2 linked regions of the Pelodiscus sinensis genome follow. Each later gene encodes a partner of the first gene's protein in a complex. Links are inferred from orthologs where the notes say so. Each region holds a gene or a part of one and is shown in the gene's direction. Other genes may lie near its edges.

Region 1 (15,807 bases):
GAATCATGTGAATTAAAGGAACTCCTGACTACAATGCAGGTGCTAGGAGATGGGGGGCCAGCAGTGTTGGGGGGAAAGGAGGCAAAGAGTTTTGGGTGTGATCATGGGAGGAAGCAGAAAGGTGGTGCTTCCTGGGCACAGATCTTGCTGGATGGAAGGGCAGACATGGGGGGAGGAGGTTTCTGAGCAAGGCACCTCCCTTTTGCTGTTTGTTCCATGGTGTCCAGGCACACACACCACTTCGAAAATAGCTATGCCTCAGAGCAGCAATTCCTCCCCCTAACAGGAAAAATCCAGCAAGACCCTAGCATCAGAAGCTCTGACTGGTGAATGCTAGAGGAGTAGATCTATGGGCCAAATTTACAGTTACTTTTAAGAGCAGAATTTCAGCATGGTTTGATACAAATGTTACAGCAAACAGATAATCCAGCTGGAATCTTCATCTTAATAGTAAAGCAGGGGCTCCAGTTAGAGCAGATGGCTGGAAGTCAGGACTTCTGGATTTCATTTCCAGCTGGGAGAGGAGTGATGTCTACGGCCTAGACAAGCAGAGTCAGTCACATACAGTGACCAAGGAGGAGAGACTGCTTGGAATGACACGCTGAGGCTACGTCTACATTGGCCCCTTTTCCGGAAGGGGCATGTTAATTTCACGAGTCGCAATAGGGAAATGCGCGGGGGATTTAAATATCCCCCGCGGCATTTAAATAAAAATGTCCGCCGCTTTTTTCCGGCTTTTAGAAAAGCCGGAAAAGAGCGTCTACACTGGCCCCGATCCTCTGGAAAAAAAGCCCTTTTCCGGAGGATCTTATTCCTACTTCAAAGTAGGAATATGATCCTCCGGAAAAGGGCGCTTTTTCCAGAGGATCGGGGCCAGTGTAGACGCTCTTTTCCGGCTTTTCTAAAAGCCGGAAAAAAGCGGCGGACATTTTTATTTAAATGCCGCGGGGGATATTTAAATCCCCCGCGCATTTCCCTATTGCGACTCGTGAAATTAACATGCCCCTTCCGGAAAAGGGGCCAATGTAGACGTAGCCTGATAGTATTATGGTTTGCTGACAGTATTATGGTTTCCCTCCATGACCTCTAGTCTCTGTTTCAGTTTCACTTTCACTTTTAAAAATAACTTGGCTGCATCTAGACTGGCATGATTTTGCGGAAATACTTTTAACGGAAAAGTTTTTCCATTAAAAGTATTTCCGCAAAAGAGCATCTAGATTGGCACAGATGCTTTTGCGCAAAAAGTGCTTTTACCCAAAAGCATCCGTGCCCAGTATAGACGTGCCTTTGCGCAAGAAAGCTCCGATAGCCCGATGGCTAAAATGGCTTTCTTGCACAAAAAATGAAGGTGCCTGTCTACACTGGCCTTCTTGTGCAAGTATTATTGCGCAAGAGGGCTTATCCCTGAGCGGGAGCGTCAAACTATTTGCGCAAGAAGCACTGAATTCTTATATTAGAACGTCAGTGCTCTTGTGCAAATTCAAGCAGCCAGTATAGACAGCTAGCAAGTTTTTGCACAAAATCTTTCCAGTCTAGACGCAGCCCACCAGTTGAAACATGTTGCCGGCTGTGGGCGCTCTGCTGATCAGCTGGGCAGCATTTGAATCTCTCCTGGGTGGAGGGCCAAGTGCTCCGCTTACAGGGAACTCTGACCATAGGAGCAGTCAGAGCCTAGCAAACCTGAAAGGGAAGTGCAGAGACCTTTGTGTGTTACCTAAGTAATCTGCCCTGCTTGTTATTGCAGATCTTCCAATGAAAGGATTCCACAACGGGAGAAATAGCCTGAGGCAGCCTCTCTTCTGCAGGGGAGAGGATGTGGGGGGACAACAGTATCTCTGTTAGTGTAATCAACTAACTGCTGACATCCCTATTAACTGTATCAGAGGCAGCAAGTGGTGGGGGGCAGCCAGTGCCTGTGAGGCTTTAAGCAGGCTCCCCACAAGCGCTGGATTCATCTGCCTCCCCACCCCTGTGCTGCTGCCTTTGATAGAGAGGCAGTAGCATGGAGGGTGAGGAGGGCAGGCTGGAGCCAATACTCATGGGAAGACAGCTTTCAAGCAGGTTCCCTGCATGCGTTGGCTTTGCAGATCTACCTTTCCCCCCTTGCTGCCTCCTATAGAGGCAGTGGGGGTGGGGGAAGGCAGCTTAAAAGACAGTTCCCCCTCAGCACTAGCTCTGCTGTGCTGCCTGTTCCCCCCTCCCCCCGATGCTGTTGTCTCTAAAGCAGTGCAGGGGTGGGGGCCAGGGAGGCTGCCATGAAGCAGCCTCTGTCTGTGACAGTAGCCCCTGTCTGTGGGGTCCAAGCTCCCTGTGGACAGAATCTGCTCTGCATCCTATGTTTAATCAAGCTACTGCTGCTTCACCTTCCCTCTCCAGCTGCATTTTGCTCCCTTGGTCATGTTCTGCTCAAAGTGACTTGAAACAAGTGAAAGATTCCAAGCCCCAGCTGGGAGATGCAGCCAGTAGCTCTGCATTTACATTCGAGATGGTGAAAACTTCAGCTTTACTTGTGCATTGCAGAGAGAAGGGGGAAACCTATAGCCTTCTGCAAGGGTCACCCTGGAAAGGCAGGGTGTCTGGGTCTGCTGACAGAATTCGTGCAACCCAAAGATCCCCTTTGTGTCTTCTAGCTATCTGAGAAACGAGGTCAAAATTACCCAGCTCATCACGTCACTCACCTATTTGTTACCTCCCTGAACCCTTGCAGGTCTCTTTAGTTTTTATACCATGCCCATCATTATGGTCCATGATCTCTTTAAGTTAAGCTGCAGAGAGCAGCACTTTTTGTCCTCCCTTCTAGTGCTAAGGGTAGAACCCAGTCATCCTGACACGTGGGCCCTCCATGCTCTGTTCAGTAGACCCACCTCTCTCCTAGAGCCAGGTAGAGAACTCAGAACAGTCTTACCAGAGAGCTGATTTAAACAAACATAAGGAAATATTGCACTACTCAAGCAGTTAGCCTGGGAAACTCACTGCCAGGGGATGTCAGAGTATAACTGGGTTCAAAAAAGAAAGAGAATTTCCTGCTGCTAGGTCCATAAATGGCTACTAGCCCAGGTAGTCAGGTATGCAACTCCATGCTAGATCTGTCCCTAAATCTCAGAAGCTTCTAGAACTGGCCACTGTTAGGCTATGTCTACATTACCAGGTTATTTCAAAATAAGTTTTGAACTAATAACTCCTAAAACAACTATTTTAAAATAAGCTTATTCCTCTTCACAAGCAGGAGTTATTTTGAAATAACTGGCTTGGTAGTATGGACGCTTGCCTTATTTCAAAATAACTCCCCAGTGTAGACATGCCCTCAGATAGGAGACTGGACTAATTAAACTACAGGCAGTCCCCGATTTACGCGGATCCGACTTATGTTGGATCCGCACTTACGAACGGGGCTTTCTCGCCCCGGAGCTCACAGGCAGCGGTCAGCCATCTGGAGCTCCGGGGCGAGAAAAGCTGCTCCCGGTGCCCCTGGTCTGCTGGGGACCATCTCCAGCAAACCAGGGGCACCGGGAGCAAAGCGGTCCGGCGCCAGAACAAAGCCTCAGAGGCGAGGCAGCCCCCCCCCCCCCGCCGCTTTGCTCCCTGTGTCCCTGGTCTGCTGGGGGGTGGGCGCAGCTAGTGTGCCCCCCCAGCAGACCAGGCTTTTGTTGTGGACCATGGGGCAGAGCAGCTGGGGCACTGCCGGTTGGTCCCGCAGCGCCGCTCTGGGCACTACTGGACCAACCCGGCAGCACTCCAACTGCTCTGCCCCAGGCGTCCTGATTCAGCCGCTGCTGGTCAGTTTCAGCAGCTGCTGAATCAGGACTCCTGGGGCAGAGCAGCTGGGGTGCTGCTGGGTTGGTCCAGTAGCGCCGAGGAGCGGTGCTACTGGAGCAACCCAGCAGCACCCCAGCTGCTCTGCCCCAGACGTCCCCAAGTCAGCCGTTGCTGAAACTGACCAGCGCTGACTACAGGAAGCCCCGGGCTTCCTGGAATCAGCTGCTGATCAGTTTCAGCAGCAGCTGACTTGGGGTTCTTAAGTTGAATCTGTATGTAAGTCAGAACTGGCGGTCAGTTTCAGCAGCAGCTGAATCTGGACGCCAGTTCCGACTTACATACAGATTCAACTTAAGAACAAACCTACAGTCCCTATCTTGTACGTAACCCGGGGACTGCCTGTATTAATCTGATCCAATGTAGCTGTTCCTATGTAAGTCCTGATTTCCAGCCCTTCCTGCTCTAACCAGAATCAGGTATAGAACCCAACTGAGGAATGCTGATTTCTGGCTTCCATCCTCTAGTTCATTGCATCTCTGACCCCGGCACTGGTTTGACCACTACTGAAATATTGTGTCCAGTTCTAGTGCCCACAATTCAAAAGGATAAATTGGAGGGGTTCAGAGAAGAGGGATAGGAATGATCAAAGGATTAGAAAACCTGCCTTAAAGGATAGACTCAGGGAGCTCAATTTATTTAGCTTAACTAAGAGAAGGTTAAACGGTAACATGATTATGGGCAGTAAATACTGATATCGGAAACAAGTATTCAATAACAGGCTCTTCCATCCAGTAGAAACAGGTCTAACATTATCCTATAAGTTGAAGCTAGACATGAGGGCTGCATCTAGATTGGCCTGATTTTCCGGAAATGCTTTTAGCGGAAAAGTTTTCCGTTAAAAGCATTTTCGGAACAGAGCGTCTAGACTGGCACGGACGCTTTTCTGCAAAAGCACTTTTTACGGAAAAGCGTCCATGCCAATCTAGACACACTTTTCCGCAAAAAAGCCCCAATTGCCATTTTTGCGATCGGGGCTTTTTTGCGGAAAACAAATCTGAGCTGTCTACACTGGCCTTTTTGCGCAAAGGCTTTGCGCAAAAGGGACTTTTGCCTGAATGGGAGCAGAATAGTATTTCCGCAAGAAGCACTGATTTCTTACAGTAGGAAGTCAGTGCTTTTGCGGAAATTCAAGCGGCCAGTGTAGACAGCTGGCAAGTTTTTCCGGAAAAGCGGCTGATTTTCTGGAAAAACGGGCCAGTCTAGACACAGCCATTCAGCTGGAAGTTACTCACATTTTTAGCTCGTGGGTAATTAACCACTGGTTGCCATGGATTTTTATCACTGGCAACTTTTAAAACCAGACACAATGTTTTTCTCCAATGTCTGCTCTAGTTCAAAGAGGAATAAGCCCAGAGACGTTCTCTGGCCTGTATAATACTGGAGGTCAGCCTAAATGACTACAATGGTCCTTTATGGGCTTGGAATGGGTTAATCTCTTACAGCAAGCATCTGTACTGCCCCTTTCCCTCACCTGCTGTCCTGGTGATCAGTCAGTGCTTCCCTAGGCCAGGGCACATGTGAATGATTCACAGCGCACAATAACCAGACTGCTCATGCATGAGTTGCCCCTCTTTGGCCAGAGCTGTCAACCACCCTCTGGGGTCCTGCCGGGTTGTTCCTATGGGAGTGGAGAGTTGAGCCACATCTCCAGCATAGATTGGTGTCTGCAAAGCTGAGGAGCCCCACCTGGGGAAAGGACAATGAGGAAGGTTGTGTTGGAGGCCTCCAGGAGGAACTATGGGGTAGCTATCCCCCCATGATAAGATGCTACTTGGATGTGACTGATGTGTTTCAGCCCTTTACTAAGAGGCAGGTGTCCATTAACCGTCTTTGGATCCTTTTATTCCTACCCTCTTGGGCTGAAAAGCAGCTAATTATGGTACAGATGTGGCCTGCCCCACCTCCTCTTACAGGAGAGCATAACTCTGTGACCACACATTGTCCCTACAGATTTGCTTCTTAGCCTCCATCTGGACTCTGTGTATGCTTCGTAAACCTGACATCTTCTATTTAGCCCCGATGGTCTGTTTCCCTGTCTGCCACTCCTCCAACTCTTCCTGCCTTAGCTGCTGAGACCAACCCATCTCTTTCCTGGCAGGCTTTCTCCATCCTGGAAAGCTGGGGATGCAATCCCTGAGCATTATCTTCAGCAGCAGAACCTGTATTTCTACATGTTTTCTTCCAACCAGCAGCCTCTCCTTTTCCATTTTCCTGTGACAATTCACCTTCCCCGCTGTTAGGCAAATCATGTTCTACATCACAGGACCAATGATATGGTAGCCACTTAAATAGGAAAATAAGGGGCTCAAATGAATTGCTCTACACTTGGGGTGTTAAATTTTGATTAACTAATAGAATAGTCAATGGGATTTCCACCTTTGAAATGTACAAGAGTACCCAGTGGGGCTGATCCCAGGCTCCATGCAGCACTTTCCCTTTGAAATGCATAGGAGTCCCCACTGGGGACTCTTGTACATTTCAAAATAGGCAGCCCTGCTCCCTACCATGGATCTGGGAGGAAGCAGCTTTTAACCATGTGACCTTGGTTAGTTAAGTGTCTTGTGTGCCTGGATACCATGGAACAAACAGCAACCGGGAGGTGCTTTGCTCAGAAACACCCCCCCCCCATGTCTGCCCTTCCACCCAGCAAGATCTGTGTCCCTAGTTTGCACTGGTGTAACTCAGCTCAGATTCTTGGCCATGCTCTCTGATCCAAAGAGCTTGCATTCTCAAAAGCTTGTCAAAATCTGCCCGAACCAGAGGGGCAGCATCTTGCACTGCCCCTTTGTAATACTGACTTCCTTTGGCAAATGCTTTGATTTCTGCTGATGAGAAGCTCAGTAAGAGCAAAGAATTTCCAGTGTTACCATTAGTGAAGTGGGCTAACACCTATTTTACCCCACACGTCCAGCCAGTCAGACAGCATGCAACTAGGCAATGACAGATGGTCTGTATCAGAAGTTCACCGAGTGCTTGTCACACTACAGAAACCTCACCCTTACCACAATTGTACCCATTTTCCAGATATGCAAACTGAGGCAGAGATGGCGTGGTCTGCCCTAGGTCATACAATGAGTCATAGTCTTGGTTCCCAGTGCGCTGGTCTAATCACAAAGCATACTCCCCAAATCAGATAAAACCTATATGTCCTTGTTCCCACTCTTCTGTTCTAACCATTGGCCCATCATAATCCCACCCACTCAGCCTCATTTAGGAGAGATGCTTTGACTTTTTTTTTCCGTCTTTTTCTTTCTTTTTCTGCTTTTTACAGTGAAACCTTTGTTAACAGAGTGATGGATAACTAGAAAACTTTAACTGGCATTGCCCCCAGCCACAATACTGTCACACATTCAGGCACACAGGCCTGGTTTAGTTTACTGATTGCCTTAACAATTTTTTATTTAAGTACTAATCTTTAACTCAAAATAGAAATGTGAGACCAACTGCCTCACACTACAAAACTACCAATATTAAAAACTTGAGTTTTACTATTATTGTCCATTGGTTTTTCCTAGGTTGATGGGACCCTCAGACAACTGGAATTTTTAGATAACCGGAACGCGTTAATCCCCGAGCATGCTGGATAACACAGTTTTTACTGTATTTGAAGCTCTGTGCCTTTCTCCATTTTTTTGTCATCTGAAGAAGTGAGTTGTTTTGGTTAGTCTCTAAGGTGTTACAGGACCATTGTTGAGGTTTTTTAAGCTTTTATAGTGGAGAATGTTCCTTTTCTTTTCTAACAAGGGTGAAAAATGTCCTCTGATCCACTGTGACTCAAGAGCATCTCAGTGCTTTGTGCTTCTGGAGCATTGAGAACTATGATGACATAATTCAGATTTTTCCACAGCTAAAGTGGGAAGAAATGGTTTGAGTGTAGGGAGTAGAATAAATGTTTAGTTTTATGTAAATATGTATAAAGATAAATGTTTGATGACTTCATAATTTTTTTGCAATATATAATTCATACTTAGGCCCTTCCCTCCCACTAGCCTTAAGCCCCTCATTACCTTAATCCGGCCCTGCCTACATGCATTTCCCTGCCTCTCTTTCCTCATCGCTCTGCAGCACCCTTTGGGCTGGGTTCAGAGTCCTGTGTGCGGTACTCTATGGCCATTCTGACTTGCATAATATAAGCTCCAGCTTTCTGCAAGCTCGGGTACTCTGACCTTTGCCTTCCCCTTCCCAAACATCCTGTGCTATCTCCCCTCTGGGAGTCCTTTAATAAACTTGAACAAACAGAATCCAGGGCTGGATGTCCCTGGTGAGGAGGTGACAGGTTTGGAATCCGGATGAGTAGGGTTGCAAGCGTAAGCGTAAGTTATTGGTTACCCAAACAGTTACACACAGGTCTCAGGGACCCTCCTGCTGCCCTGCACTCTGGTGAAGGCAGCAGAGGGGGGCAACAGACAGGAGCCTGTACTCAGTTCCCAGCACACACCTGCACCTGGGAGCTGGCTGTGCCCGGCGTGTAACCGAACGTTTACCAAATGACACGTATTTTAACATCCCTAATGACCGGCGCCTTTGGAGGGGAAGGCGAGCCTGTGAGACCTGATGGGGTGGGTGCCACTAGCCGGGGGGGGGGGGGGGGGGGGGGTTGACCTTAGGTGAGGGATGCTGGTGGGGGCTGTGGGACATGGGATGAGGGATGCACTGGGCGGGGGCGTGGCTCCAGACTGCTCCTTTCCTTGCTAAAGGCCCACCCCGGGGCGTGGCTTTTGCCGGTGGGCGTGGTCAGTGCCTAGGATGCAAAAGAAAGCCGAGGCAGAATTGATGTTTAGGGTTTCAGCTCGGCCCCGCCCCCCCTGGGGGCGGGGCGAGAACGCTCGGAGAGTCGGCAACTGGTCCCACCAGGCTCGCGGCCTGAGAGAGTGGGGGGAGTCGGGACAGTGACCGGCAACGACCGTTGGTCTCACAGCGCGCGCTTCTGTCCCCTTCCCACCCCTCACTTGATGACGAGTGAGGGGCGTGGTCTCAGCGACGGTTAAGCTCTGGGGGGGGGGTAAGTGTGCGGTCACGTGACGCAGGCTCTGTCCCCACTGGCGGAGAGCGGCAGGCCCCGCGCTGTGATTGGGGGAGGCGGGCGGGAGGCGGGGTCCGGGCGGGGAAGGTTCTGGAGAGCTGTGGCGAGCTCTGGAAGGTTCCGCCACCCGTCATATAAATGGGGGGTGGCGGCGGGCGCCGCGCTGGAGTGACGGGAACCGCTGACGGGGTGTGAGACGCGCAGCTGGGAGCCATGGGCAAGGACTATTACCGGACGCTGGGCTTGTCCCGGGGCGCCTCGGACGACGACATTAAGCGGGCCTACCGCAAGCAGGCGCTGCGCTACCACCCCGACAAGAACAAGGACCCGAGCGCCGAGGAGCGCTTCAAGGAGATCGCCGAGGCCTACGACGTGCTCAGCGACCCCAAGAAGCGGGAGATCTTCGACAAGTTCGGCGAGGAAGGTGAGGGGCGGCGTGTGGGCGCGGGCCGCGGGGGGGTCCGGCAGAGCTTGGTGGGGGAGATGGGGCAGGGGGCGTGTGTCGCTCGCTGTGGATGGGGGGGCTGCGCAGCAGGAATTGGGGGGCTGCCCCCGTGGTGTGGCGAAGGGCGCTGACGTGATGGGGGGAGGGGGACGCCCTATACACTGGGGCTCTGGGGAAGAAGGCGGGGGGGGGGGCTGTCTTTCAGCGGTGCAGCGCTGGGGGGGGCTGGTAAGCAGGGGGATGGTGCGCTAAGGTTTGGGGTGCAGAGCCTCTGTGCGAGGAGGCCCTGTTCCGGGGAAGACCGCATACCCGTGGGAAGGACATTCTGATGCAGCTTAGTACCTGGTGATAGGTAGGAAGGAGGTGGTTAGAAATAGCTGAATGTCATGCTGCTGGGTATTCTGGAAGTACTTTCCATGAAGTGAGGGGTAGCACTAAGATTGGGGAAGAGGAACATATGTCCTAATGGGGCACTCCCAAACTTTGTGGAGAGGGAACTGTGTATCTCTTACACACAAGATGGAGTGGTTTTCTTTCTTGATGCAATCCAGGGAGTGACAGAGAAGCAAAGTATTTACTAGTGGCTAGTCTCTCTTTAATCCTTTGCTTCTGAAATTCATTCATTTTTGTCTGGAAAGGAGTGCATCTAGTTGGTTTTCAGGGAACAGTACTGAACCCTGAATGGGCATGTACAGTAAAGGGATTCAGCTTTCCCGTGTAGCCTGTAGATACTGTCAGTAGCATGGGATAGCGAAGTGGCTGTCAGAAAAATAAGACTCATAGTAACAGGGAGATGTGTACAGAGCTAATTGTGAAAGGAAGTAGAACTAGTCCTATTAGTGAATTTAGGAATTAGCCAGTTTCTTTTATCTCAGAGCGTCCTGTTGCATTAATAACATAGCCTGTTAAAACTATTAATAAAACACAAGTGTCAGACTCTTTTGAACAAAATACAGGACTATGTAGCACTTTAAAGACTAACAAGATGGTTTATTAGATAATGAGTTTTCGTGGCCCAGACCCACTTCCTCAGATCAAATAGTGGAAGGAAAATAGTCTCTTTGGGAGACTTATTGTGAAGTCCATGTGCAAAGCCTGCCTGACTTCCTCCAAATTAAGGCATTAAAAGTCTGCATCAAATCTCTAATTTAACATTAGTACAGATTTTTTTTTTTTTTAGGGTGTAGTCTCATCCATTTAGATTACTCAAACAAGGGAGCTAGATTTCTCTGTATTTAAACAGCTAGGTTGGCCAACTCAACTGTTAACATCTGATGCTGAAAGAGTATGATTTTTAATATTTTTTAAAAATAGTTGCTTTTTCCAGCTAATAGAATTGTAGATAATTTCCCTTAAATTATTTTCCAAAATTTGTGTTTTGAATTGCTTTTCAGTTGCTGACTTCCCATGTTTGTTTCTCTACATTGCCTTTCCTGTAAATACTTAATGATTTCCCCATATGAGCTGATAGGCCACTTTTCCAGAAGAGGCGGAGCTGACTACAGAATGGTTTTGCTTGTCACTAGAAGATTCTAATATACTGTATTTGTTTGCCTGTGTATGTTAAATTATGAAACTTGCTCCGTAACAGTGTTTTATTGAAGCAGGAAGAATATAGTTGTAGTCTCCAGGCACTCAGATTAAATTATTTTTGCTACAATGGCTCTATATAGATGAGCTAGGTTTAATGCCAATTAAAGGAATACAGTTGATTATAAATTATTATGTTAGGAAACTCAGTAATTGAGAGAGAAGAGCTCTTCAACTTGGCTCTAATTTCTTTTTTGACTAGGGAGGTCTGAATCTTGACACCATTTTAAGATGACAGCAGGCCTCTTTGGTGATGCACATCAAACCTAAAGTTCTAAATAATGACATTCCCAGGATCTAAGAATGAGGAGAGTCTTGAAATTAAGAAAGATATAGGAGACATTTGGTAAATCTTGAGTTTAATAAATTCTTATGAGTAATCACTGGATTATATTCATTCTGTTTTTTCAGGACTAAAGGGAGGTGGTCCCAGCAGTGGCGGAAGTTCCAATGGTACCTCATTCAGCTACACGTTTCATGGAGATCCTCATGCTATGTTTGCAGAGTTCTTTGGTGGCAGGAACCCATTTGATACCTTTTTTGTACAAAGGAATGGAGATGAAGACATGGATGTTGATGACCCTTTCTCCACATTTCAAATGGGGGGCTTTAGTAATATGGGTTTCCCTCGTTCCCGCTCGGGCCATGAAAGTATGCGCAAAAAACAAGACCCTCCTGTCATTCATGAACTGAGGGTTTCCTTGGAGGAAATATATACTGGTTGCACCAAGAAAATGAAAATATCTCACAAACGACTTAATACAGATGGGAAGACCACACGGAATGAGGACAAGATTCTGACCATTGAAGTCAAACGAGGGTGGAAAGAAGGAACAAAGATTACTTTTCCAAAAGAGGGGGACCAAACAGCAAACAACATTCCAGCTGACATTGTCTTTGTTTTAAAAGACAAGCCACACAATGTCTTTAAGAGAGATGGATCTGACATTATTTTCCCAGCTAAGATCAGCCTCCGTGAGGTAAGCAAAGGTTCCAGATTCAGTATGGGATTAGTGGGTGGATTGGGTTGGGTTTTGGCTAGTGGAAGTGACAAGTGTTGAGATCTATCTGCACCCTGTTTCGTATCTGGCTTTAATCCATAATAGGATACCTGCCTAACTCTTCTGTGGTCTGCCTAAAATAAGATGGTAGCTTCAGGATACTTCCTTGTGGAACAATCAAAGGGTATAAACCACCATTAGAGATGGCAGATCACTGGCAACTACTTTGAAAATGATGTGGGTCAGTTTGGATACTGAAAGTTCAATGTGGGTCAAGCAGTTGTACAAATATATAACATAGTTGTACAATTTCTGGTACTGTTACTCTGTGCCTGCATCAGTAACTCAGAAGAAACAAATTGGAATAAACAGGCCATTGCAATGAAACATTTTTCTATTTGGTTGTTTGGGAAATCTGCTAGAGATTGTATATGTTGACACTGTTCTAATTTCCCTGTTTTTATATTTAGGCCCTGTGTGGTTGCACAGTGAATGTGCCAACGCTGGATGGCAGGACCATCCCAATGGTATTTAAGGATGTCATTAAACCTGGGATAAAGCGGCGAATCCCTGGAGAGGGTCTCCCATATCCCAAGAATCCAGACCAGCGAGGGGACCTTTTTATAGAATTTGAAGTAAAATTTCCAGACAGAATTCCACAGGCCTCCAAAAGTGTCCTAGAGCAGATCCTGCCAATATAGCAAGGCTGCTTATGGAGAACTGAAACAAGGACACTTCCAAAGCAAAAGGTTACTGGACCATAACCAGGACTTCAGGGTTTCTCTTCAGTGGAGGGTGTGGACTTTGAAACTCTTCCCCAAGAGTACCATCTTGAAAATTGTGTATTCGCTTTTCAGTGACTTTAGTCCCAGATCATCACTTGAAGTATTTACATCAATGAGCAGCTGCTTGTGGGAGGAATCTGTATCTCCTGGTCAAACCTTTCTTCTGGTGACTAGTTTCCACCCAACTGCTCCATGTGCTGCCTTCACTTAACTGACTAACCATAGACTGAGCATCTGTTTCACCTCATCTCTCGTGCAGAGCTGTAGTTTCCCCATTGGAAAGGGTGAAACAAATCTAAAACTGGACTTGCAAGTAAAAGACTCTCCATCTTGCCTTGGTGTTGTACTATGCTGTGTCCCTTGTCGCTTCCTATACTGAAGGCTTTTCATACAGGGACACACTAAATGTTAACTGGTATTTTTAGTTCTGTAAGTTGTCATTGTCATGCTTAAAAGCTTTTTGTATCAGTTTTTTCTTTGTCAATTGTGTTGGAAGACAATTTGTGTTTCACCTTAATGTTTCCAGAGAGTCACAGCTTAGAGAAGTCCTAAATGTCTTTCAGAATGTAAGCCTTTAAATTTAAATTCCTCACACATTGGCTAACTACCAAAGTTAACAAGGTCTAGTCTAGGGGGAAAACATATTTTTTTTACATTTCAAGTGTAATGCGTTTTGAAGTTTTCCCTCTATGAAAGTCTTCTCTCCCCCGTCCCCCAGACATTTTAAGGTCTCTTAGTCTGGATCCTGGTCATGTGGTGAACAAATACAGGGCTGCCTTTTTTCATTTCAGGTACATAGTACCTAAGGAAGATGCTGAGTCTTACTAACCCTGCATGCAGGATGAATATCAAATTTCATGTTAAAGACTTATTCAGTACGCTAATGGACTCTGGATTCTTCCCCCCCCCCCCCCCCCCCCAAACCAGGACTGTGAACTGGTAGCACTACCCCCAAGTTATCCTTTTTTGATAAAAAGGGTTTTCTCCTGATACAGGAGCACTATGGCACTTCATGTGTATACTTTGTGTGTAATACAAACTATGGTAGCTGCTGTTTTACAGGATTGATTACACTGATAAAGAGGGTGTGATGACATGCTTACTCAAACCAATGGCAGAGCATGATCCTACACTGCCTGGGCCGTGATCTTGTAATGGGATGGCCAAGCTGATAGCTCTTTGACATTAATCTGTCACAATTAAAATCTACTCAAAGTCTAAGCATGTCAGGTAGGATTAGATGTCTGGAATAAAGGACTTACCTACACATGTCATTAAAAATTCAGAGAGATGGGAAAACACTGCTAGAATTTATTCTTGTTGAATACTGGCTGAGTGATTAACACTTTTTTAAAAATGTATTAGCACTTTTCATTGATGGACTGTGGTGTCTAACGGAATTAGTGGCACAGACAGTCACAGTTCAGAGGGTTGGAACATAGGTCTTTACCCTCAAGTGCTGAATGTTTTCTTTACCCTGCTTTCAGCATGATCCTTGCTGGAACAGCTGCACTAGTCCTGAAACACTGCTGTAAAACTGTGGTGCACAACTTTTACAATAAAGCTTAGAGCAAGCAGGGACCAGGAAGCTAGGGCTTCTCTACTCAGGCTATTCTAGCCCTCCTTTGTTTTGCGTCACAAAACATCTTTAAGGTGATGTTCTATACCTCTTTCTTATAGGAGAGCTTCCAGGCCACTCGCACTATACTGCTTTCATTTGTCTGAGTTGAGCCAAGCTAGCTCCCATCTCTTTCTCCCCCCAGCAGATGCCATTTCAAAGTGCATGCATAGCTGCGGTGGCTTTGCTCCATAACAAAGATACTGCCCTTCTAAAACTACTTACCTCATGTGAAAGCTTAAATAGGTAATGCTTATGAGTTCTGGTTGATTGGTGGGGGCTGGAGCAGCTCCCTGGCCACTGCAGGCAGGGGCTGCACTTGTGCAGAGCAGTCAGTGGCAGCCTTGGCACCCTGCAGACAGGCTGCTCCAGCATCCGCAATAGCCTCTGTTCAGGGGGTTGGGGAGCCTAGGCACAGGCTGGAGCAGGCCCTAGCCCAGCTCCTGCTCAGTTAAGTGACTAAATATTACATCAACCTAACATTTAGCTGATTAACTGGAATGTACAGTCCTAACTGTTACTGACCTTGCCTGTATGATGTAGGAGAACAGTTAAATCTACATCATAGCCTCAAGATATAAAATAAAGTGTGGAAGGGGAATTGGTTGTACTTCTGACATTTTACTAGAGCTAGTCTTATGTATAAATTTCTCTCCGATTCCTGTTTGCAATAGACAATATGCTGTGTCTCTTACCTAAAAAGTTCTCTATTCTTTCTTTTCCAGTGCTGTATCTCAGCTAGCAGTTTCTTCCTTGTTTTTGTCAAGAGCAGCTGCTTGTATTAATTTCTCTGTGGGTTTTACTTCCACTTTGCTTCCTTGCTCTGTAATCATGTCTTCTTCACTGGGTACTCAATGATACTACCTCATGCTAGTTCTGGTCCTCCTGTTTGGTTGTGAGCAGAGTAGTTGCTCATGTTTCCTTCTACCATGTGGTTACATCTACCGGATGTAGACTAGACTGACCTCTTGTGTCAGCAAGTTCCTTATATAGAAGTGACTGACATTACATTAATGGATGTCTCACAGAGCAGAAGCTCTGCAGGATAGATATCTACTGTGTGACATCCATTAATAAGTTTGAGAATTTGCTGTAGCACAGCAATTATTACCTCATATTTATGTGTATAGCTGGGAAATGAAAGCTTACTCCCGTCAGGGTAACAAATCGGGGAGAGACTGGGAAGTTAGGGGCAGCAGTTTTTAGATCTAGTTCACACCACACCAGGGCACAGTTTCTGTGTGAGACTGCTACATGAAATCTGATGTCCTTATCCCATGTTCCACGCTTCTATATAACTGTTAAGGATGTTCCTCAAGCTTAGTCAATCAAAACCCTGTATTGAGCCAGGTTTCTTGCGCCTACCTCCTTCTGTCTTCATGAGTGGAAACTTTACACAATGAAATTGTACAAATCCAACTCCTGTCAGACTCCACTTTTCTTATACAGGTAAATGTTTCGTGCTGTATATTCAAGGGGGATTCTGGTATAGGGTTGTTGGATGAAGGATCAGAAAGCAGATGTAATTT
Region 2 (15,822 bases), on another chromosome or scaffold:
ATGGGAGAAGATTCCTCTCCCATCAGTATAGTCCTGCAAATCCATGTACCTACATATGTAGAGGCAAACAGCTGTAACTAGTTTTTTGCAGATAGGGACGTGGGTACCAATTTTGTATGGACTCTACCCAGAGTAAGAACCGCTCCCTAACAGGCTCTCCCCTGCAGCCACCACCAAGCCCTCCCTCCCAGCCTCATAACTAGCTATGTTTGTTCCCAGGGCAAAATATTAATTGCATACCCCCCTCTCCTTAGGTTAGCACACGGCACGCTCTTTACTTTGCAGCTTATTATTTTTACTTAATGCATCTTTGCGCCCCTGATTATGATGCGCCCAAGGCGAGTGGCCAACTTAGAACATAAGAACGGCTGTACTGGGTCAGACCAAAGGTCCATCTAGCCCAGTATCCTGTCTGCCGACAGTGGCCAGCACCAGGTGCCCCAGAGAGGGTGGACCGAAGACAATGATCAAGCGATTTGTCTCCTGCCATCCCTCTCCAGCCTCTGACAAACAGAGGCCAAGGACACCATTTTATCCCCTGGCTAATAGCCTTTTATGGACCTAACCTCCATGAAATTATCTAGCTTCTCTTTAAACTCTATCATAGTCCTAGCCTTCACCGCCTCCTCTGGCAAGGAGTTCCACAGGTTGACTACACGCTGTGTGAAGAACTTTCTTTTATTAGTTTTAAACCTGCTCCCCATTAACTTCATTTGGTGTCCTCTAGTTCTTCTATTTAGGGAAATCCGCCTTTGTCACAGGCCTGCCCCCTGCCCATACCGCCCCCAAAGAGCCACCCGCTCCCCGCTCTGCGGCCGCCCGTACCTGCTTCCGGGGAGACTCGGACCCTGCGGATCACGCAGCGGCCAGGCAGCGCGTCGCCCTGGGCGTCCAGCCAGCGCTTGCCCGAGTACATGCGGATCAGCCGCTGGGCCTGGCCGGGCCGCACCGCCACCAGGCCGCAGCAGGAGGCCGGGCCCCCCGCGGGGCCGCTGCGCTCGGGCCGGTGCCGGTAGTGGAAGCAGAGGAAGCCGCCGGCCTCGGCGAACTGGCTGAAGTAGGCGCGGAGCTGGGCGGAGCGGAGCGCGGCCGGGATGCGGCTCACCAGGCAGTAGCAGGCAGGGGCCTGGCCAGGCTCGGGCGACGCCATCTTGGACCCCCCGGGACGCGGTCACGTGAGCGACACGGAGCGCGTCGCCCCAGAGCTGCCTCTCGCGAGATCGAGTGGCGGCGTCAATAAAATGGGCAACGTCAGTTTAGTGCGCGGAGGCAGAGCGGGAGGGAGGGATTCCTGCGGCGCACAATGATGATGTCACAAAAGGCCCAGCTGGGTACCCTTTGGCACCACAGTGAGAGGTCACCTATTGCTCAGGGGCATGATCCGGCCCTCACCTTAAGCATGTGCCCAAGTGTTGCCCGGTGCCAGGACATGGGCCAAATAGAGAGCTGACCCCGCCCAGCACATGCTCAAGGGAGCCCCAGGGCCTGGAACATGATTTTGGGATTTGCACGTGTGCCCTAGTGCGCATGAGTTTTGTCACATTGGTCAAATATTGGAATAAATTGCCAAGGGAGGTGGTGGAATCTCCCTCGCTGGAGATATTTAAGAACAGGTTAGATAGACATCTGTCAGGGATGGTGTAGACGGAGCTTGGTCCTGCCTTGAGGGCGAGGGGGCTGGACTCGATGACCTCTCGAGGTCCCTTCCAGTCCTATTATTCTATGATTCTATGACTCATGGTAACTGGTGCTTTGTCTTAAAAGCCCCCAACTTCTGGAGTCATGTGAGGCACAGAGCAACTAACCCTCCTGGTTGAAGACAAAAAGCTTGATATTGTGACTGCTACGCAACCCTAAAACTTTAAAAAGTTAAAGAGACTGGTGAAGCACTGGAATGGGTTACCTAGGGAAGTAGTGGAGTCTCCATCCCTAGAGGTGTTTAAGTCTCGGCTTGACAAAGCCCTGGCCAGGTTGATTTAGTTGGGATTGGTCCTGTCTAGAGCAGGGGGCTGGACTTGACCTTCTGAGGTCTCTTCCATCTCTATGGTTCTATGATTCTATGGGAAAAAAGACTAAAAGGAAATAAAAAGAAACCAAATGGATTATTTTAAAATGTTGTATTTAAGCTCATTTCATGATTTTGGGATCATGCCTTATGATTTTTGAAAGCTTGGGTGTGGCAGTATTATGTGCAATCTAGCTAGGCTGACAAGTTTTAAGTGTAGACCAGACCTGAGGGAGTCTACAGTGTTACAACTGCACCACTATATCATTTCTAGTGTAGACACCCTAAGTGAGTATTGGAGACTTTACACAACACCCTTAGACAAAGCCCTGGCCGAGTTGATTTAGTTGGAATTGGTCCTGCCTAGAGCAGGGGGCTGGACTTGATGACCTTCTGCGGTCTCTTCCAGTTCTATGGTTCTATGATTCTATGAACACCAGGGCTAAGATGAGTGCTAAGATGAGCTCATCTTTACACTAAGATGAGGGCTTTGACAGCTGTCCAGGAGAGATTCAGATGCTGCCCAGCTGATTAGCAGAGCACCCACAGCTGGAAGCATGTGTTTCTATTGGTGGTGCACATGCACACATGCTTTCATTCACATAACAAAATGTATTCCATGTGTGAATGGAAAAGATTAGCGGGAACACTGCACATCACTCCTGAATTTGGCCCAGTGCCTTCAGGATGGGATTGATGTATGACTGGTGACGAGAAGCACCGCAGAGGAATGTCGCAATTTTTCAGCCTGTAATTTTCCTGTTCGGTCTCCACCGCTATTAATCAGATACCTTTCCCCAACAATGTTTAAGTGCAACACTGATTTTGCTTTGCAGTTTAAGATAGAATGCATTCCTATGGGGATTTTCTGGGGACTGCGCCTCATCCCATTTGAATGTTTGGATTATGTGACCTGTGGCAGGTTTTTCTAAGTTTCAATAAAATGTAACACACACCAAAAAAAACCTTCCAAAACAGAACCAACATTTTCCAAAATGTAAAACATTTTATTTAAAAAAATAATTTACTGCATTTTATATACAGATCACAGACTAACATCCACTCACAAATACTTATGTCTGAACTCTGTGCAAAGGCTGTTTTCTTTATATAGATCAGCACCTACAATGGGAGCAGGAGCAACCATCAAGTAGTCTGGGAAGCAGATGCCCAGCTGAAGAATGGACTGTATAGCCACTGACATAGCTCCTCCTTTATGGCATGTACCACCTCGGAAATATCACTCACCATTACACAAATGGACTTAAGCTCATCAGTCCTACCTGTTCTTAATAGCACTAAAATGCAGCCTTATTTAGCCACTTTAACGAAGGGTAGTAGATTCTGCCACCCTAACAGCAGTGGTACAAACATAAAGAACACTAATCAGAATACTCCCATTTTCTTCTCCAGGCCTACTTAGTTTGAGTCAGGGAGGCAAAACGTGGGTTTCTGTGAACTCTTTTAGCTTTAATATTGTGCAGCCCTTGCCTGTCAGTGTTTGAAACAGGGATAGATGTGTAATGGCTACTTCCTTAAGACTCCAGGACACTTAATAACCTGGTCATGCAACACAGACATGCAGGTACTATGTAAAAGCCCGATTCCACAGCACTAGGTAGCATTGTATGAGTGATTCTGTTTAGGGTTGCCAGGTGTCCGGGTTTTTTTTGCTCAACCAAATGTTTCCTACCATGTTCGGTATTTTTTTTAAACTATCTGGCATCCTTAATTCCATTCAAGTCAAGTACTGGTCAGCGTGACTAAAGATTGCAGAACTAGGCCCCGATGTATGAATAGTCTGTGAGGGTGAAATCAATGGCAGAACTACCATAGACTTCAGTGGGGTTGGGATTTGACCCTGAATCACAAAATATGGAGCTCTAATCCAACACTTTGGCTACGTCTACACTGGCATGAATTTCCGAAAATGCTTTTAACGGAAAAGTTTTCCGTTAAAAGTTTTTGCGGAAAAGTGTCTAGATTGGCAGGACGCTTTTCCGGAAAAGCACTTTTTCCGGAAAAGCGTCCGTGGCCAATCTAGATGCGCTTTTCCACAAAAAAGCCCCGATCGTCATTTTCGCGATCGGGGCTTTTTTGCGGAAAACACTACTGTGCTGTCTACACTGGCCCTTTTCCGGAACTGTTTTCCGGAAAAAGACTTTTGCTCGAACAGGAGCAGCATAGTTTTTCCGGAAAAGCACTGATGATTTTACATTAGATCGTCAGTGCTTTTCCGGAAATTCAAGCGGCTGATTTTCCGGAATAACTTGCCAGTGTAGACACAGCCATCATTTATTGCAGGCCTGTTTTCAGAGGTGCTGAGCAACATCTAAAAGGCTGACTGAGTGCTGAGCCCATCTAAAAATCAGATTGTGAGTGTGTGTGTGTATGTAACAGAGTCTTTCTCTGGAAATTTTATCATGTAAAACTGGGAAACTCCATTCTGTACAAAGCCCTGGCTTCAATCTCCTCCTTTCTCAAAGAAGTGCTTCTCTGATCTGCATATTTCCTAGGGAAAATGTCAGCCCAGAGGTTTATTTTGCAAGGACTGTTTCAAGGACATTGGCCATGCTTTTTTTTCTACTTTACTGTGCAGTGAAATAGTAAAATCACACACACTTCAGAAATGATTTGGCTTTATGAGTTCAGTTTGTACAGGGGCTGAATAAATAAGAGCTATGTTCTAGAATGTGGCTTAGCTGCACTTTTCAACTGCTGAAGCTGTTGCCTGAGCCCAAGTGAAATACACACACAAAACCAGGTGTGTTTGAAAGTCCACAGTATCTTTCCCACCAAATCCCCACATCATATTAATGTTATTGTCCCTTGAAACTCAACTCAGTGCTCAGGAGGCGCATGTGAGGGTGGCCCTGAATGTGATCTCTCAAGAGGCTGTGTGTGACGAAAGAGTCAGTCGCCGGCTGGTTATTTCATACAGCATTTCTGTGATCACCTCAATAATGTCTGCATTGCCAATGATGGGTCGAAAGAAGAGGTCTGTGATAAGTGCAGGAGGAATGGATCTCAAGGTGGAGGCAATCAGCAAGATGCGGGCAAAGCGGCCCTGGTCTTCTGGGTGCAGGGGCACTAGGACTTCTCGGAGCGCTCGCTGTGCTTCCCGTTGGAGGCTCTCGATGTACAGAGAGGCTCTGAGACCTGGGACATCTATGGAAAGAGAAACAACAGGAAATACAAATGAAAATTAGCCTCTGCTTCCCAAGCTATGCCCCAGGCCCAGGCTCTTATCCTGCATGTGCCTCTGCTGAAGGCTTGTTCACCGCTATTGCTAGTGATTCACAATCAAATTTGATTTCTTTCTACTGCCTGCACACCGGCACAGGCAGATAAATAAACATGTTTCCTTACATTTCATAGTATATGAGGATCCCAAAGTACTAGCTATAGATATGCAGCATCTCTGAAACGTAGCCACGTCTGAGGTGGAGAGCAGCAGTTCATTATTAGTGTGTAACACATCAAGGGAGGAAAAATATTGACCAATACAGCTCGGGCAAAATGCAGCTCTAGAAAAACATGCTCTGAGATCCTCTTTTTGCTGAAGGGTATGCAAGACCGCAATTTTAAAATCTGATTAAAATAGTCCCTTCCATCACAATAAACTATATAGGACTTAGTTTATTTGCTTCAAAAAGAGGAAGAACTGAATCAACCCTGGTTAGGGTTTGAGAGACTGCGAAACTAATAAGCCACCCCTATCAGCACAGTTGACTCCAAGGTTTGTGAGTTAAAGCAAGTGACCAACTGGGGCAAGTCACTAACAGCCTGAATTCCAAAAGTCAATGGGAACTGGAGATGCTCAGCACAGCTGAAAATTAGCCCTGAAAATGCTCTGTGCCTCAGTTGGCCTGTCTTTAAAATAGGGATACTACATCCAGCTTAGTAATAGAGATGTAGCCGTGTTAGTCTGGTCTAGCTGAAACAAAAGACAGGACCATGCAGCACTTTAAAGACTAACAAGATGGTTTATTAGGTGATGAGCTTTCATGGGCCAGACCCACTTTCTCAGATCAAATTGTGGAAGAAAATTGGCATGACCATATATACCAAAGGGATACAATCAAAAAAAGCGAACACATATAGAAAGGACAAATCACATTTCAGAACAGAAGGGGGATGAGGGCGGGAGGTTAATGTCTGTGAGCTAATGATATTAGAGGGGATAATTGGGGAAGCTATCTTCGTAATGGGTAAGATAATTAGCATCTTTGTTGAGGCCCAGTCGTAAAGTGTCAAATTTAAGCAACGACTGTTGCTACGCTTCAAAGGCAGAGGCACCCTATCGACTAATTGAACAGTTGATGCAAAAATGCATTGACTGTTCAATTAGTCAATTACCCGATATTTAATATCCTTAGCTTGTAAGAGCTTTGAGCTCCCTGGATGGATGGACAGCTATTCATTGCTAGATACTCTTGTGTGACGTGCCATCTGTCCCTGCCAACAGAAAGGGGTGTGAGGGTTCGGCACTCACCAGGGTTAAAGAGAATGGCTCCTTTCAGATAGGCATACTCCTTAGGGCTCAGGTCCAGGCCCCAGAATGTGTTCAGGCAGCACTGTAGCCTCTTCACGCCAGCTAAGGTGGGCTGTGCCCTCTCAGGCTCCTGTCTCTTCCTTTGGCCATCGAGAAGGATCCTCTTGAGCATGCTCGGGGCTGGGGTTTCCATCACCTCAAAGGTCACCATCTCCTGAACCAGCCCCAGAATAAAGAGTGGAGCCCAGCAGCTGTCCAGAAGCAGCAGCTGGTCCCCCCGAGGCAGCAGCTGGAAGGAGGGAAGGTTCTTCATGAAGCTGACTGTTTTCACAAGGACATCTGAGGCTGCCTGGCAGGTGAGCTGAGGTGTCCGGAGGCTGACGGTGCGACGCTTCTGGCACAGGCAGCGCTGCTGGGATGGGCTGTGGCTGCCCCAGTTGTGGTTCAGGTTCTGGCTCAAGAGGGCGTAGAGGATGGCATTTTGGTTCTCCTCACTGTGGCACTGGCATTTCTCATAGTCCAGATCCATGCTGCATGTAGTCATTGCTGAGCCTGGCCAGTGGATCCCGTCAGGTCCCAAGGAGGATGAGACTCTTGTGCACCTGGCTGGGTGGATCTGTGAGCACGCCTGGTCCCTTGCAAAGGCTGCTGTATCAGTCAAAGCTCTCTGACTGCAGCCTGCTGCTCCCAGGTCGGTCACCTCTCTTATACCTTTGGCTGTTATTCCTGGCTCTATTTATAAGACTCTAAGTGAAACACCCCCTTAGCAGCCTTGACCTCTCTTTAACTAAGCACCGTTCATTGAAAAACAACTCAACTCAGTACTGATTGGCTGGGGAAGTGGAGCTTCCACTGGTGCAGATAAAGGTTTTCTCAATGAAAGTGCCAGTTAGGGCCAGGAGGATGGGATGGGATGGCAGATTGAGTGGCTTTCTTATCTGGATTACCCAACAGTATAAACAAAGTCATTAACCCAGCCCGTACCATGGCACCAAGGCCCCAGGTGTGTAATCATGCAATGCTATATGACAGGTGTCATTGCCAAAGAGTTCACACACACACACAGACCTTGTCTGGAGCAAGAGACCAGTAGCAAAACAGCCTGTAAACTCTGGCCTTGGAAAGAGCAACCTGGAAGTCATTTTATCAGCAGGTTGTTTGTTTAACCTTGTTGACAACAGGCTGCTGTTGTTGCAGATAAAGAAAAAAAAAACCTAATGAACTACAAAGGGCAGCAGATGGAGGCTGGGGCCTCAAGTATCTTGTGTGTTTTAGGGAGGGGGGAAACACGGACGTATGGGGCCTTTTTACTTTTTGCCTTGTTTCCTAGGAGATTTCATCAGTTTTATAGACAGGTTAGATGCATCATACTGTTCATACATGGATGTTTATGTCTTCATGCTTCAAGGAGTGTCGTGACTCAGAGGAACTTCTAGGGCAGGAAGAAGTCACTTAGTTGAAACCCCTACCCCTCCAGGATCATGGAGCCTGATTCTAAAGAACAGGCAGGAAGGAAGAGCCAGGCTGTCTGGAAGGCAAGTTAATGAGTGGGAGGAAAGCAGGTGGCAAGAGGGCTGTGTCTAGACTGGCCAGTTTTTCCGGAAAATCAGCCGCTTTTCTGGAAAAACTTGCCAGCCGTCTACACTGGCCGCTTGAATTTCTGCAACAGCACTGACTTCCTACTGTAAGAAATCAGTGCTTCTTGCGGAAATACTATGCGACTCCCGTTCAGGCAAAAGTCCTTTTGCGCAAAAGTATTGCGCAAAAGGGCCAGTATAGACAGCTCAGATTTGTTTTCCACAAAAAAGCCCCGATCATGAAAATGGCGATCGGGGCTTTTTTGCGGAAAAATGCGTCTAGATTGGCACGGACGCTTTTCTGCAAAAAGTGCTTTTGCGGAAAAGCATCCATGCCAATCTAGATGCTCTTTTCTGAAAATGCTTTTAACTGAAAACTTTTCCGTTAAAAACATTTCCGGAAAATCATGCCAGTCTAGACGTAGCCTACATGTTTAGAAAGAAGCAGAAAACATCAACGAACCCAGTGTAGCGCCAAGTGGAACTTTCAGTCACTAGAAGTTCCCAGTGGAGATCACCCAACTATGGAAAGTCTTAGGAAAATACTAGCTTCCAGATCCCTTCTCCCAGTAGTTAACAGTGTAATTTTAGTAATGTGAATAGGTTCATCTAAATAGGTTACTGGTCTCTCTGCATGATATTGACCAGGGAGGGTTACTAACAGCAGCAGCATGGAAAGGGTTAAGAATCATTGCCTTAAATGACTATGGTGAGCGCATTTGACCCTTGAGGTGGGTGCCTCCGCTGGGGCCCGTGTGCTGCCGCTGGTGTTTTCCACAGTGATTCTGGAGGACAGGATGTTCCCTCCTGCCCGCCGCAGGCAGGCTCTGCCCCAGCCATCTGGGTGCCCATAAGCGGCAGAGAGCCAGCTTCCCCGGTGTGGTTGGGATGCCCGGGGTTGCACGCGGGCGGCGCCGAGGGCGACTGAGAAGCCCTGGTGCCACGCCTGGCCACCCTGCCCAAGAGGCCTGGCAGGACGCCTGGTGCCCCTCCCCCCACAGCCTTCCCTTGGCAGAGGCCCCCCCCAAGAATATGGGCTCCCACGAGGGTCCCCCCCTTTTGATCACTGAGGCACGTGGTTCCTGCCCTTTGACCCCTCCGAGGCATCGCGCCCTTTGACCCCAATATAGGCCTCCCCCCCCCCAACCCGTCCTAGGGCTCCCACCCCACGTGGATATGCCCCATAACACCTGACCTTTGACTCCCTACCCACTCGGGGCCACGCGGCCTCGCCGATTTTTCTGGAAGGCCCCGGACGCGGCCGGTCACCATAGAAACCAACGCCACGCGCGGAACCCGGCGTGGAACTCCCGCCTCCTTTCCGATGACAGGACGCGGCTCCAGCCAATCAGCGAGCGGGGAGGGGGCCGTGGGGCGCGAGGATTGGCTGGCGGGCGGTGGCTGGGTTTCCGGTTCCGGTGTGAGGGTCTGAGGCCGCGGGAGCAGCGGTGGCGGCGGGCAAGGATGGGGCCGAGTGCGGAGGCGGCGGAGCAGGAGGAGCGTTTCGACGGGATGCTCCTGGCCATGGCCCAGCAGCACCAGGGCGGCGTGCGGGAGGTAACGCCCGGCCGCCCCCCCCGCTCTGTGGCGGGCCTGCGTGGGGGGGGGGCTGTTAACGCCCGCTCCCGGCCGCCCCCCCCCCGCTCTGTGCCGGGCCTGCGTGGGGGGGGGGCTGGTGGCGGCCGCTCCCGGCCGCCCCCCCCCCGCTCTGTGGCGGGCCTGCGTGGGGGGGGGCTGGTAACGCCCGCTCCCGGCCGTCCCCCCCCTTGCTCTGTGCCGGGCCTGCGTGGGCCTGGGGGGGCTCTGAGACACCGCCAGCGCCTGGGCGCGTGCTCTGGGGCGGGCTGCAGCAAACTGCCCCCCCCCCCCCGCTCCCTGACCAAGGGAAGCAGCTGGCAACGTCCCGCACGTGAGGATGTAAAACCCCATGTAATTGGCTAACGTTGTGTTTAAACGGTTAACCGGCAGTGGGGGTGGGGGCGCTCCAGCTCCTCTGCCGCCAACAGGGGCTGCTCTGGCCAGGCCTGGGTGCCCCTGTGGCATGTCCAGGGTGGGCTCTCTGTCGCTGGGCTGCTCCTGCTGGGTAGGAGCACTCCCCACCCGTGCTGGGCTCCTTGGGACGGAGCAGCCCCTGCCTGTAGTGGGCAAGGAACAGCTCCGGCCCCCACTAATGAATTGATTAACCATTCTCATTCCCTTGTCCCGTATGAGTTGGGGGACGTGGTTCACCCCTTCCTCCCATCCTCTCTAAAGGATGCCTGAGGGGTGGGAGGCTCAGTGTTGTGGCAATCCTGGACAGGGCAAATGCCCCCAGCCAGCCTCTTTCACTTTTCTGGTGATTTGTCTCTTTTCTGTATGTTTTTATGAGATGCTACCCCATTCCAGGCCCATCCCATTTTCCTGGCACAACCAAACTTTTACTGTGCTTTAAGTTATGATATGAGGAAGCCGTATACCAAATTTGGTAGTCCTAGCTCTTACCGTTTAGGAGGAGTTCTGAGACAGACACATACTCTCAATATATAGTTGATTGATATGGTGCTGTTAACCTACATGAACCCTTATAGACAGTCAAGATGAACAAATCCACACTGGTGTTACTTTTTATATTACATCCCCTTTTTGTTGAAATTGTAATATAAAAATGTAATATAAATGTAATATAAAAAATACTGAGTATCCGTATTAGAGAGACAAGTTGGGTGAGGTAATCTCTTCTTGGACAAACTTCTTTTAGTGAGAGAGAAGCAGCTTTGGAGCCATACTCTTTTACAAGTCCAGGAATGATTCTAAGAGTCCACTAAAAGCTATCAGCACACCTGCTTTGTCTCTGTAATGCTCTAATGACTATCCCAGCTACAACTGCATTACATATATTAGTACCTATATGCAGGGCTTGACAATTAACATAATCTACTCGCCACAGCACGGCCGCACAGCACGGTCAGCACATGGTCTGCATGTGCAGCGCACAGCTGGTGAGCGAGGCTCGCCGCCACTTGGCAAGCCCGTCCTATATGGCTGATTTATGTTTGTCACTCATGTCATTGAGTCCTATCCTTGATATGCTGTACCCATAAGAATGACCACCCTGAGTCAGGATACTAGGCTAAAGGAACCGTAGCTCCATCTTCTAACAGTGACTGGTGCCAGGTACTTCAAAGGGAGTGATTAGAACAAGGCAACTTACCAAGTGATCCATCTCCTGTCATCCAATCTCAGCTTCTAGCATTGCAACCATGATGCAAGCAAAATTGTTTAAACACTAGCAGTTTCTTGGCCACTATAGATAGATTTTGTTACTGGCACTCGTCTCAAAGTGTTGCAAGGACTTACGTTATGTTTCAAATGACCTAGGAAAATAAATAGGATGGTTGGGTTACTGTGGCTTTCTGGATCAAGTACCTGCCTACATCAGTCAGGGAAACAGTAGTAACAACATGCAACTGACGAAGTGGGTCTTTGCCCATGAAAGCTTGTGCCCAAATCAAATTTGTTAGTCTTTAAGGTGTCCTAGGACTCCTAAGAGATACTATGTATCAGAAGAGTTACTGGGTTAGTCCGTAACAGCAGCACTGACATAGCACAGCTTCCAGCTAGGATGTAAACTATGTTTAAAAAAAATTAACTGTGTAATCGATAGAAAGTCCATCGGTTATAGTTACAATTAAACGGGCTCCCCAGGCTGCTGGCACCACAAGCTCCAGGCTGCCTGCTGCCCACTCCTGCTCCCTAGCAGAGTTTAAATGGTAACATGAACCAATAAGCATGAGCTTATCGGTTAATTGTTTAAACTCTTACCTAGCTCCAGCTGAGGTGCGGGCAGCGATTTAGTCTCAGTGCGTACTAGTTGCTTTTCCTCTCCCACCTCCCAGGAATTTTCAACTAGAAATAGATATGTTTCAGCATGGCAATCTAGTCTGCTTCTCCATCAAATGTTTGATTGAAGCAATTCCCTTTTGCTTCCCATGCTTCTGGACCATTTGCAAAATGCTATTCTTTAGCTGTGCCATAATTAGAGCAGCTACTTGTCTCTGCTTCTGTTGAGTCCTAGTGAAAATTAATCTTAAAATAGACCAAAGCAGTCCAACACCACATTTATCTTTTCCTTGGATATTGAGAGCATTGCTTGGTTGATGGCCTGAAAGTGAGGATACTTAAGAGTTCTCTCATCCAGCAGATTGAACAATTTTTTAAATAAAAAATGTGATACTGAGATACTAAGTTTAGGAACAGGTGATAAGGGATTGTAACAACTCAGATCTCCAGACTTTACTTGCAGCTGTGCAAAAGCCTGGCTTTACTAAACCAGTGTGGTAGATACTAAGTCCCTAGTTTGCATTGTTGGCCATTGTGAATTACAGAATTTTACAGATAAACCAAGAAAACCGAAGTCTAGGATACTGAATTACAGGTGCTTTACTTCTTATTTTAGTATTATTATAATATAGTCAACTTATAATTCTTCATATTTAAGTGTGTTGTGATCTAATTTTTTTTTATAAAAGAGACTTGATAACATAAGGTCTCCTACAGCTACTACAGTGTTGCTCAGAGCTGAGGAATGACTTAGTACATGCAAGAAAAATACTGGGTTATCATATAAGCAAAAGACCTAAGATTATGAGAGATGAACATTTAAAAAAATATCCTCACATAGGCATTTTAAAGTTTTAATTCTAGAAACCCACACTGTAGCTATAGTAGTCATAATGCTTTCAAGGGAAGGGGACACCAAAAAGAATTTCAGTCTTGTATAATCTCATGAGAATCTCTTGAAGGTAGAGAACTCAGAAGGCATAGCTTTGCACAATGCACTAATTGTTATTTATCTGAGAAATAGGTACAGGGGTTTGATTCCAAGCTTTAACAGGTCTTCAGGTAGACTTGGCTAGGGATTTCAGTACATAACATCAAACATTTCTCCTTACTGAGGTGAGAAGTACGGATGGGAACTAGCATCTCTTGTTGATCAGGTGGCAGTTTAGTATTCTGGCCGGCCAAAAATAAAGTTATTTTGCGTTTTTTTTCTTCCTTGGCTTTTTTGAGTAGGTTGAAACTTTATTTTGGGTCTCCTGAAACTACCTTGTCTTTTGTCTTTCAGCTTGTGAACACGTTCTTCAGTTTCCTCAGACGCAAAACTGACTTCTTCGTCGGCGGAGAAGAGGGAGTAGCAGAGAAGGTAACTCCCCTCCCCTCCTCCAAATCTTCATGACTGATTTCGTCCATCCCCAGAGCAAGTTATTCTCTGTCTGGGAACACTCAGTGGACCACAGAAATGAGTTCTTCAGATTTTCCAGTTATTGCTTTGCCTCTGTGCTTTCCTATTGCCATCTGATTATTTTTTACTGCTCTGTGGGCCTGACTTTGTGATGCTGCTGAAATATACTAAGGAAACAAGGTCATAATAAACTGCCCCATCCACAACTGAGCAGTGGTAACAGGCTTTTTGGGCTATGCTCTGGCCAAAGGCTTGTTTGGAAAGCATGCCTGCCAGACGCACTGATTTGACTGGGTCAGACACCGCAGGTTTAATAACCCCAGGTTACCTTGTTTATTCATTTCAGAGAAAACACAAAGTCCATCTCACATAACTGCCACTTTGTCTCTGAGCTGAAGGCTATGAGACTGGTGGTTACTGTGTGGGTGTGAGAGAACTGGACCCTTCAGGTTCCTGGCATGCCTGACCCTACTGCCACATACTGCATTTCATATTTAATCTCAGAACAGATCTCAGCACTCCAATATGAAGTATTCAGAACTTTCGGAAAGCCTTCTGTAGTTAGCTATGCAGTAGCAGTTCCAAACTTCTTCTGGGTGTGGCTTGTATATTAGCAGCATCTCATGGAAACATTCATTTCCATACAGATCACTTCCTCTCCTACTGGCTATTGGATAACTTCTGTGGCAACTATAGGAATTTTTGTATGAAATAAATAAATATTGGGACATTATGAAATATATTTACAGGTGCTGTAATTCAGTTTAGCAAGTGGAGGCAAGGAACGACCAGAAGATTGTGATCAACAAATTCTCTGCATGCCACCGCCAAGTGCTTTATCAACCACTGCTGGCCTGCAGGCCACAGGGTTTGAGAAGCACTGCCATATGGCTTTGTCAATGCTGCATAATGTATGCACGCTGCCCACTGTCATGGTCAGAGTTGAGACCTAAAAGCTGGGACTCCTGGCTTCTGTGCTGTACTGTCAAAAGTTACTTAGCAAGTCAAATCACTTAGCAGTTTCCCTCAGTTTCCCCATCCGTAAGAAGTTAAGGTTTCATTCTCTGGTAAAGTGTTTTGTGATCCTCAGAAAGATGCTGCATGCAAAACATGACTTCTCTGCCTTTTGCAACACAGTGCCCCAACAAAGGTTTGAAGAACCCCTATTTCACGCTCTCATTCTCCCTTTACCCCTTGTAACTCTTAATGTTTCCTTTGGGACTGAAATGTCTTGTGTATAGTCTCAGCAGCAAGGTGAAGCTTTAGTGGTAGGGTAAGGGGAATTATGCAGCTGTGGAGGGTGACAATACACACCTCCTCCCTCTTTTTAAGAACTTTTTTGTGCTTGACTAACTTGGAGTGCTTGTTTTTATATAGTCATACTATGGAGCAAGTCTTTGATAATCACTGTACAGTCAGTAAATTATACTACATGCAAATATAGATTTTTGTGCTTCTGTTCATGGCTACTCAAATGCTGAACCAACTTTCAAAAGAAACTTGAAACTGAGCCAGTTCCACAAATGGTTGTATAACACTCTGCCATGTGCTGCCAGCTATGTGTGAGGTCCTGATCTCAGTCTCTGACCCTCCCGTGATGTGGGTTAGGCATACTGCAGACAAATACAGGTTGAACCTCTCTAGTCTGGCACCCTCGGGACCTGCAGTGCTGAACCAGAGATTTTGCCGAACCGCGAGTCAGTAGTGTCTTGCAAGATTTCCAATGCTTCCACTGATCGCTGGGCTCTTAGAAGACATTTAGGGGTATATTAGAGCTGAATAACAGCACAGAACACTGAGAGCCAGGACTGGTGGCTATAAACAAACTTTATGGCACTGCGGGAAACTTGGCCACATCCATGTTAAGTGGACATCCAGCTAACTGAAATCATGCCGGACCCTGGATGATGCCAGTCTAGAGAGGTTCAACCTGTAATATGCTTCTCCAACCTCCATTAAATATCATAGCAGGGGGAGTTCTGAACTCCTGGTATATACATAAAGAGACAGGCTACTGGGCTAGATGGACCTTTGGTCTGACCCAGTACAGCTATTCTTATGGTCTAAGATTTACTAATGATTGTATCCTTCTTCCCCGGACTGCAGTCAGTTCCATAATTAACTGAGGTCGAGATTCTGTGAGCTGCTTTGGGCCCAGTTCACCTTGATAAGTGCCAGCACATTCTTGGATCTTCCTCTTGTTAAATTCATACCCTTTGATCTAAGGAATTTCTTCCTCCCCTCCTTTTAACTTCTGTCTATGATGATTACCAGGGTTGCTCCCACCTGCCCCGCATGACATTCTCCTTAGATGCTCTTTCCTTTCAAAAGAGCTAGTGTGTCTCCTATAGCAGAACTGTGTGTTCACTACGTGCTGCCTTGCACAGTACCTTGGGCATTATCAATGGCTGGGTTATTGCTCTGGCTTCCTGCCTATGTACTCAACTCTCCCGCCAAGCAGTGCAGCCATTTACATCAGATTCCATATTCTTGGTGCACCTGAGTCACTGCAAGATGATGGACC

Evidence for each region.
Region 2: the proteins of DNAJB1 (region 1) and NUDC are in contact, whole or in part, in a crystal structure (PDB 7NDX), measured with the Homo sapiens proteins. The link is inferred for Pelodiscus sinensis from reciprocal best matches to the Homo sapiens genes DNAJB1 and NUDC. Residues at the interface, in NP_006136.1 of Homo sapiens: His166, Lys181, Lys182, Met183, Lys184, Ile185, Ser186, Asp201, Lys202, Ile203, Ile235, Phe237; in NP_006591.1 of Homo sapiens: Pro102, Gln103, Ile104, Lys105, Glu106, Leu107, Ala112, Leu115, Gln116, Ile119.

What each region holds. Positions count from the first base shown.
Region 1 is NC_134729.1:10,608,459-10,624,265, reverse strand, and holds DNAJB1 (dnaJ homolog subfamily B member 1), read left to right. Parts: upstream 1-8,895; 5' UTR 8,896-9,052; coding exon 9,053-9,263; intron 9,264-11,285; coding exon 11,286-11,854; intron 11,855-12,345; coding exon 12,346-12,576; 3' UTR 12,577-13,130; downstream 13,131-15,807. UniProt on the Homo sapiens protein: Interacts with HSP70 and can stimulate its ATPase activity. Stimulates the association between HSC70 and HIP. Negatively regulates heat shock-induced HSF1 transcriptional activity during the attenuation and recovery phase period of the heat shock response.
Region 2 is NC_134735.1:2,374,291-2,390,112, forward strand, and holds the start of NUDC (nuclear migration protein nudC), read left to right. Parts: upstream 1-9,474; 5' UTR 9,475-9,541; coding exon 9,542-9,634; intron 9,635-13,181; coding exon 13,182-13,259; intron 13,260-15,822. Other genes in the region: GPATCH3 (G patch domain-containing protein 3), read right to left, coding at 826-1,150; NR0B2 (nuclear receptor subfamily 0 group B member 2), read right to left, coding at 4,893-5,173, 6,501-7,044. UniProt on the Homo sapiens protein: Plays a role in neurogenesis and neuronal migration. Necessary for correct formation of mitotic spindles and chromosome separation during mitosis. Necessary for cytokinesis and cell proliferation.